Arabidopsis thaliana: one gene and its partner. Each later gene encodes a partner of the first gene's protein in a complex. Each region holds a gene or a part of one and is shown on either strand. Other genes may lie near its edges. A codon is read from its position in the direction of its gene.

Region 1 (4,898 bases):
TTTGCAGGGCAGCATCTTCATATTCTGGGATAAGCAGCAGAATCGTCACAAGATAAATTAAGGTAAATGGACGGAGCAATAATATATTATGGTAAAATATCAATCGGTTTTCTTCCTAGAAAAAGAACGTGTAAATAAAGATGTAAAAAGAGTCATCAGCGCATTTTCTGATCTACATTTGTTACTTGTTGGCTTGTTGCTACTATTCTTGCTCAAACTAAAACTGGAGAATTTTCTCTTTTTTTTTGGAAATTAAGATAAATGTTTTCATCTAAACAGCTAGTAGAGTTACTTACTTTTCAGGAACTGGTCATACTTTTCAGCCTCATAACCTTCATTGTTAAAATATTTGACAGTCTGAAACGAAAAAGAAATTCTGTCAAAACTGCAAGTCAAGCAAAATGATTAAGATTAAAAATTTACCTCATAATTTATCAGAGAATCAATGGCCCTTGTGCTAGCATCATTATCAGCTTTGTTCATAGCCTTTCTAAACTTGGTTCGCCACTGGATAAAATAAATAAAACCGTGAGCAAAGCGTTTGACACCAAAAAGATTTGTAACAAGATAATGAAAGTTGAAGAGAATGTATGAAGACAACTATCCTTCTATACATCATCAAACCTAATATCACAACTAGAATGATTTAAGCCGATCCAAAGAGTTGATACAGTTAAGATTAGAGAAGCTTAGTAACGAATTCCAGAACAATGTATACTATAGTAGTTTCTTAAATAAAATATCACAGTTATTGCTGGATTATCATGATAATAACGCAAGTATTGCATTATAGTTGGCATTGAAAAGAGAATACCGAAAAAGGCACAGTACCTGTGTCACAGCTAATGTGAAAACGATATATGATCCAACGGAGAGAGAAGTAATCCAGGCAAAAGCAGCTCCAAACTTGTATGCCAGTATACCTGATACCATAGATATCTGAAAGATACATATTAATTACGTCGAGTGTTTTTAGAGACGAATGAATAGTGAAATCCAAATATGAATGAGCAACTGCCAATTATTCAAAATGAGAAAAAAAACAATGATCATGAGAAAGCACCAAGTGGTCAGACAAGCTTTACCTCCAATATGGTAGGAACAACATTGAAAACCATAGCTGAGAGGATAAAATTTATTGCACGGCTACCACGATCAATAATCCTGTTCAAGCCGCCTGTTTCTCGACTGGACATAAGCAATTAAGTAAGGAAGTTATGATGAGATGAATCTAAGATGGAATGAGCGAGACTACTCACAAGAGTAAGAGAGGAGAGATAGATACCTTAGGTGGTAACGAAGGTCAAGATCATGTAAATGTGAGAACACCTGCAAAGCGACCATATGAAATTGATTCATACATTAAAATATCTCTATCGACAAGATAGTTTAGAGCAGCAGCAGCATACCTTTCTAGAAACAGATCGTATTGTTCGGAGAGCTACCTTAGAGAACACAGCAGTACGAAGTTCTGCGATGATGAAAAGTAACAACCAAGAGTGAAAAGTGCATTCTTTTTTAAAGAAAACTAGAGCTATTGAGAGTTACCATTAAAAGCAGAAGAACCCGTCCGAGCAATCCCGTATCCAATGAGAACAGCAGCAGGAGTAGCAAAAACAGTAAGAAGAGTTGGGTTTGTAGCAGCGAAGGTGGTAAGTGAGGCTCCAGTACCGGTAGCTGAAGCAAGCCAATCAACAGCTAATTTGAAGAGGAAAGGGACTTGGACATTCAAGACCTTAGCACCCACGAGAAAACCCAAAGCAGCGATGACCCTGAAACGGAATTCTGGATTGTCTCTCATCCACAAATAGCCAGCAAGCGTACGGAGAATCTTCATGTCAGCCATAGCTGAGTCTGAATCCGACGAGGTTGTCTTGATTTCCTTAGTCTTGGTGGTGGTTTGGTCTGGATTGGGAGTAGAAGTCGAGAAGAGACGACCATTAAGCATTGAACTCCGTTGAACAAAACGAATTGGGGATGGTGATGGTGACGGGGATGGTGAGTTATCTGAGAGGAAGGCATTGATAACCGGAGATGTTCGAATTGAGTTACGTCTGATGTAATTGGAGAAACCATTATGAAGACGATAATCAGAGCGAAGACTGTAGGAAAAAGATGGGATTTTGGGTTGAGGTTGAAGATTAACGCGACAGAGTAAGAGCCCAGGAGCCCTAACGAATCGAGATCCTCTCGACATCCCTTCTTCTCCGAAAGTTTCACAGACTGAATTTTGCTCCGGCGAGCTAGCTAACAATGTCACGACGTTCGGCGGTGCTTAATGGGCCTAATAAATAAAGCCCAATACATTTTAAGCCCATTAATGTCTATCCCTTTGTGGAGTGAGTCGTCGTTTCTCCACCATTCTTTCATCATCATCGTCGTCAAGCAATGTTTATTATGAGCTACTTCCACAAGAAGTCATTGTTAGTAAAGAAATGGGAAGCCGTGCAATATGTATACAACGTGTGGCACCACCGTGTTTTGAAGCCTCGCAAGTGAAGAAGATCAAAACAGTTGGTTCCTTTTTGGTGAATACTAGGAGTAAGAGAAGAAGAAGCACTGGTGTGAAATGTAGCAGCATAGCTGACTACATCGGAGGTGACTTGGTGAAGCCGGACATCGGACAATGGCTTCAAGACGTGGAAGAACACAAGGCAATCGCCATTTACGCTCCTCATGAGGGTGGTTACGAAGGTCGTTATCTTAACCGTCTCAAAATGCAGGGCTACTACTTTCTTGACATCTCTGCTCGTGGCCTTGGTGACCCTGAGACTACCCTTCTCAAGAACTACCCTGTTTGCCCTGTATGTCTACTTTCATCCATCTTCTACTTTAATCTTGTTTCAATATAATTTTGTGTGAACCATGTATCTTCTCTTCTTTTAGGCTCATCTTGGGAAACAACCTATAGCAAGATGGTATTATCCACCAGAAGTTGATTACAGGCTCGCTGCTCTTCCCCCTAGTGCCAAGGGTCTTGTTGTATGGGTCCTCGAAGCAAAGGTTTGAGTTTCTCTCATTTGATCTGTTCTCCCACATGCTCTTTCTCATATTTCCATTTCACTCAGGTCCTCTCAAAATCGGAGCTTCAATTTCTCGCTTTACTTCCCTCTCTTCGTCCTAACGTCAGGGTTATTGCTGAATGTGGCAACTGGTGAGTATATCATTCCTTACCATACACACTAATCATCTATGTTTGCAATTTGCATGACCATTACCAATTCCCCTGCAGGAGAAAGTTCGTGTGGAAGCCTCTAGCAGAAATTGCAAATCTAGCTGCACAAGAGTAACTTAATGGCACAAGTGGAGCTACCAGTGTATAGTTTTTCATGAATGCATCTCCCGCAAGTGTAGCAATACTCATCCCATAGTAAAAGTTAAAATCTGTATTTGTAACTTGGTAGTATATTCCCATGGAGTAGTTAAAGATAATTTCTGACTCTGCTTTGTCACAAATAAAAGTATGTATAATCAGTAAGATTGATAGGACACGCTTAGATACAGACTACAGAGCAATCCAGAAGTACAACATAGAACACTTGATTCAGCAGAAACATGTGCAACTTACTTTGATCAACTCCAGTCACTAGACCTAACGAGTAACAACATGTTCCGAGTCCACAAATCGTTTTGAAAACCAAAAAATTCAGATCTTTTGCAAAGTTCTTCAGCGAGTAGGCATATTGCCCTCCTGTGACTAGACAACTTAATACCTAGAGCTTTAACTGAAGGTTCTTGCCAATATTCTCGTGAGAAATCAACAAATATGGTCACCCTTAAGACTTTGATGGAGCTAAATGTGAGGATGCTTTTTGTTGTCTAGTTCTATGCTTAACCTTGAGTCAGTGACGTATCAAACAGGCAACTTTGAGTAATAGAAGCTACACTAGGAAAGATATAGACTTGGATAATGAGCTCAGTAGTACAAAACTTTGAAGCACTAAGACAAAGCTGAGATTGGAGAATGCAAAAACAAGACAAAAAGCAAAGTTCTATACTGCAGATTCTTGGGTTACTTTAGGCAAGAAGGTATCCCACCATCCAGGTTCATACTTGGGGTATGGCGCCACCCAATTTTTAGGCTTATCGAACTCAAGAGTGGTAGGATTGGAGGCCAAAGCTTCATCAAGAGAGGTAGCTTCAAAGGAATCATACAGAACACGATCCAATCTTAACTTCATAAACCTGCCATAAAACAACAAATTGCAAAACACAAATGCGTTAGATAAGGAGGGAGTGAGGAACGTAATTTTGAAAAGAGAGAGATTGGGATTAGGGTTCTAACGTGATCCAGGTGCCATTGGTGGAAACAAGAGCAACAGCAGGACGACGAAGTCTTTGAGTAATTTTGGGGAAATTGTCAAGGAATTTAGGCTCAATGACAAGCCAGAAGTCTTGCACTAATTCACGCTCACCGAAGTAACGGAGACGTTCAAACAATTGCTCCTGGAAGTGCTCCTCTTCGTCAAGCATGAATTTAGCGTTTGCTACCAGGAAATGGTACTTGGTGCTCTCTCCCTGCAATCATCCAGAAAACGTAAGCTGTTTGGTTTGATTGGTCAAGAGGAAAAGAGAGAGAGAGAAAGAAAAGAGAAACCTTGTTAACAGAAGACTGTTGCTCGATGGAGGTAGCTGCGGTTTTGAAAGAGGAGGAGAAATGTGATGATGGTAGAGACAGAGAAGGCGAAGAGAGATGGAGTTTCTTTGTCTGCTTGGGAAAGGAAGAGGAGATGAGAAAGGGTTTCGTACGGCAAGCGGCGGCGGTAGGCGGCACCGCCACAGTCAATGCTCCGGTGACGCTCCACATTTGCTGCTGATTAGAGTCTGTTGATCGAGGCAGAATCTGTAAAAATCTTATCTTTTTTGCCGGGGGTCATCCATTATTATCATCACTCTCT
Region 2 (3,715 bases), on another chromosome or scaffold:
CTCCTGCCGTATGAAAGCAATACTCTAACCACTGAGTTAAGTAGGTTATTTATCATTGTAAAGAGAAGGAAAGGGGATACCTATCACATCGATAGGATTATAAATCCAATATTATTTCTAAGCAATACCAATAAACAATGAGATCAAAGAGATATAATGTTCGATCATGTAATATTAATCTTGACAAGAAATTATCTACATGATAAGATAAAATGTGTATCACAAACACAAGGGCTATAGCTCAGTTAGGTAGAGCACCTCGTTTACACGTGCGCCAAAGTTTTTCAGAGGAGTCCATCACGCAATCAAACTAATTGATTGATCTTATTAAGAAATCGATGTCTTACTCCATGACTTTTTTTTAGGAAAAAAGAGGAGAACAACAGCCTGACATTAGGTCCTATTAAAGTACCCCGTTAGGTAGGGAATGAATAGAACCCATCATTGATTTGAGATATTGATAGGGTGAATACCCAGTCTACTCAATGCTAGGTAGAATGAGTATAAGGAACTCAAAAATGATCTTTTCGTCCTATGAACCTTAAGGTGTATCAAGTTTCATGTTTGATTTTTTAATCAGGATGTTAGAGACTATATTTAACTTAAGTTGATCTAGACCAAAAGCAAACCTACGTCAAGAGAACCCTTCTTTGAAACACTTTGGTAGTTCTTCTGTATTGTATTAGAATTCAAAAATAATCAATCAGAGTACTTGGAACCATTTCTTATCTTTTTTTTAAGAAAAAATATGGTAGACTAACTGATCTTTCGATCAGTTAATGAAAGAGCCCAATGCAAAAAAAAATGCATGTTGGGTCTTTGAAAGAGTTCGAATCATTTTGATAATAATAAGTTCGAACTCTTTTACCGAGCAGGTCTACGGTTCGAGTCCGTATAGCCCTAACTAAGAAATTTATTCTAAAAAATCACATTAAAATCAAAATAATTGGATAAATTTTTTTACTTTTTTTTGTATTCTTTATTTCTAACAGGTTACTTTTAATTGCTCGGTTCATAAAAAAAATTTCCATATCATAAACCATAAGTCCTGGGGATCGTTCAGAATAAAACGGAAAATTTCATTTTATTTCAATGGAGCCAATCACTATCTATCGATATATCGAGATAGATACTTAATTTATAATTTAGAATAAACCTTTTTCTTCATTAATTTTCATAGTTGTAATTTTTTTATATGAATTTTCCTCGTTCACTAGCTACAATCAAAAAGTTCATAATACTTTCTTTTTTTTTTTGTATCCCCACTCAATCTTGGTTACTTTTTTTATCACACGGCCTTGTTTAAAAATAAAAAAAGAAATCTAATTAAATTCAACCAAAATTCAATCTATCTAATACTAAGTAAGATGAGTATGGTAAAGTCTTACTGGATTTTTTGATACGTCATCATTTAAAAAACGAAGAGATTTTTCGAAAAATTTTTTTAAACATAAACAGAAATAAAAAAAATTACTAGTTATTAATCAGATTAATATTATATTATTATATTAGAAACTATTAGTAATAGAAACATGGAACTATTAAGTAATAAGTGTACTGAAAATAAGAAATCAATAAATCTTAAAACGAGACGTCTACCACAACAACCAAACGAAAAAAAATGATTCGATTAACCTGAATTTTTGTTTTGACTCAAGAGTTCTATATCCCTTGCCCAATCCACTCCGATTGGAATTGACTAAGCGGGTATTTTTTCCACATTCATAGGAGTTCGTCTATGTTTCTGCTTTACGAATATGATATTTTCTGGGCATTTTTACTAATATCAAGTGCTATTCCTGTTTTGGCATTTCTAATTTCCGGAGTTTTATCTCCAATTAGGAAGGGGCCGGAGAAACTTTCTAGTTATGAATCAGGTATAGAACCGATCGGGGATGCTTGGTTACAATTTAGAATCCGTTATTATATGTTTGCTCTAGTTTTTGTTGTTTTTGATGTTGAAACTGTTTTTCTGTATCCGTGGGCAATGAGTTTCGATGTACTGGGGGTATCTGCTTTTATAGAAGCTTTCATTTTCGTGCTTATCCTAATTCTTGGTTTAGTTTATGCATGGCGAAAAGGAGCATTGGAATGGTCTTAGTTCGTTTACCGAATACTTGATACAATAATAAAAAAAAAAAAAGTAAAAAAAACCATTGAAACAATTATGAATTCCATTAAGTTTCCCATACTTGATCGAACAACAAAAAATTCCGTTATTTCAACTACGTTAAATGATCTTTCAAATTGGTCAAGACTTTCCAGCCTATGGCCGCTTCTTTATGGTACCAGTTGTTGTTTCATTGAATTTGCCTCATTAATAGGCTCCCGATTTGACTTTGATCGTTATGGGTTAGTACCAAGATCGAGTCCTAGACAGGCGGACCTTATTTTAACAGCAGGTACAGTAACAATGAAAATGGCTCCTTCTTTAGTGCGATTATATGAACAAATGCCTGAACCGAAGTATGTTATTGCTATGGGAGCCTGTACAATTACAGGGGGGATGTTCAGTACCGATTCTTATAGTACTGTTCGAGGAGTTGATAAGCTAATTCCTGTAGATGTCTATTTGCCGGGTTGTCCACCTAAACCAGAGGCTGTTATAGACGCTATAACAAAGCTTCGTAAGAAAATAGCTAGAGAAATCTATAAGGATCGAATTAGACCTCAACAGGGTAATCGGTGTTTTACTACCAATCACAAGTTTTTTGTTGTACGCAGTCCGCATATTGGAAATTATGATCAAGAACTACTCTATCCACCATCATCTACTTCAGAGATCTCTACTGAAACATTTTTTAAATACAAAAGTCCAGTATCGTCCCACGAATTAGTGAATTAGGGAGGCTTTTAGAGAATCAGAAAAAAATCTTCATAAATTAGAATTAACGGTAAATGTGAAATACTTAATTTTATATAAAAAAGGTGTGGGGGAAATAAAAAAGATGCAGGGCACTTTGTCCGTTTGGCTAGCCAAACGCGGGCTGGTTCATAGATCGTTGGGCTTCGATTATCAAGGAATAGAGACTTTACAAATAAAGCCCGAAGATTGGCATTCTATTGCTGTAATTTTATATGTATATGGTTACAATTATTTACGTTCGCAATGTGCCTATGATGTGGCACCAGGTGGCCTCTTAGCCAGCGTGTATCATCTTACGAGAATAGAATATGGTGTTAATCAAGCGGAAGAAGTCTGCATAAAAGTATTTACTCACAGGAGTAATCCTAGAATTCCATCCGTTTTCTGGGTTTGGAAAAGTACGGATTTTCAAGAACGGGAATCTTATGATATGTTAGGAATCACTTATGATAGCCATCCACGACTGAAACGGATCCTAATGCCCGAGAGTTGGATAGGGTGGCCTTTACGTAAGGATTATATTGCCCCCAATTTTTATGAAATACAAGATGCTTATTGAATGATAAAAAATGAGCCAATAGGATGAACTAAAAAAAAAGAGTTCTGCATTATGAACTTTGTATCGCGCACATAACTTAGTCAACTTTAGTCACATAACTGGGAATGAATAAATAAGATCGGAAAGCAATAAATGAAGGGGGGGATACAATTCTATTTCTATTGTATCTAATGAACCTTGGGGTATTTTTGCCCTTCAACTATAGTATACTATACATATAGACCTTTTTTTACTTGTTTGATTCAACGGAACTCATTTAACCTTTCCTTTCGGATATGTATTATGTATCA

What was found.
Region 2: the proteins of NdhN (region 1) and ndhK are in contact, whole or in part, in a cryo-EM structure (PDB 7WFG), measured with the Arabidopsis thaliana proteins. Residues at the interface, in NP_200634.1 of Arabidopsis thaliana: Pro80 (codon at 2,673), His81 (codon at 2,676), Gly83 (codon at 2,682), Gly84 (codon at 2,685), Tyr85 (codon at 2,688), Glu86 (codon at 2,691), Gly87 (codon at 2,694), Arg88 (codon at 2,697), Leu90 (codon at 2,703), Asn91 (codon at 2,706), Arg92 (codon at 2,709), Leu126 (codon at 2,893), Lys128 (codon at 2,899), Tyr142 (codon at 2,941), Ala146 (codon at 2,953), Pro148 (codon at 2,959), Pro149 (codon at 2,962); in NP_051063.1 of Arabidopsis thaliana: Ser3 (codon at 2,174), Ile4 (codon at 2,177), Lys5 (codon at 2,180), Phe6 (codon at 2,183), Pro7 (codon at 2,186), Thr20 (codon at 2,225), Asp24 (codon at 2,237), Trp28 (codon at 2,249), Thr117 (codon at 2,516), Asp118 (codon at 2,519), Thr151 (codon at 2,618), Arg154 (codon at 2,627), Lys155 (codon at 2,630), Ala158 (codon at 2,639), Arg159 (codon at 2,642).

Annotation. Positions count from the first base shown.
Region 1 is NC_003076.8:23,559,467-23,564,364, reverse strand, and holds NdhN (oxidoreductases, acting on NADH or NADPH, quinone or similar compound as acceptor), read left to right. Parts: upstream 1-2,363; 5' UTR 2,364-2,435; coding exon 2,436-2,804; intron 2,805-2,886; coding exon 2,887-3,003; coding exon of another isoform or gene 3,004-3,009; exon of another isoform or gene 3,010-3,068; coding exon 3,069-3,154; intron 3,155-3,232; coding exon 3,233-3,290; 3' UTR 3,291-3,797; downstream 3,798-4,898. Other genes in the region: ABCB25 (ABC transporter of the mitochondrion 3), read right to left, coding at 1-24, 297-357, 424-507, 832-939, 1,086-1,188, 1,286-1,329, 1,410-1,471, 1,549-2,197; EMB3143 (YCF54), read right to left, coding at 3,993-4,185, 4,286-4,518, 4,598-4,807. UniProt on the Arabidopsis thaliana protein: NDH shuttles electrons from NAD(P)H:plastoquinone, via FMN and iron-sulfur (Fe-S) centers, to quinones in the photosynthetic chain and possibly in a chloroplast respiratory chain.
Region 2 is NC_000932.1:48,387-52,101, reverse strand, and holds ndhK (NADH dehydrogenase subunit K), read left to right. Parts: upstream 1-2,167; coding exon 2,168-2,845; downstream 2,846-3,715. Other genes in the region: ndhC (NADH dehydrogenase subunit 3), read left to right, coding at 1,739-2,101; ndhJ (NADH dehydrogenase subunit J), read left to right, coding at 2,949-3,425. UniProt on the Arabidopsis thaliana protein: NDH shuttles electrons from NAD(P)H:plastoquinone, via FMN and iron-sulfur (Fe-S) centers, to quinones in the photosynthetic chain and possibly in a chloroplast respiratory chain.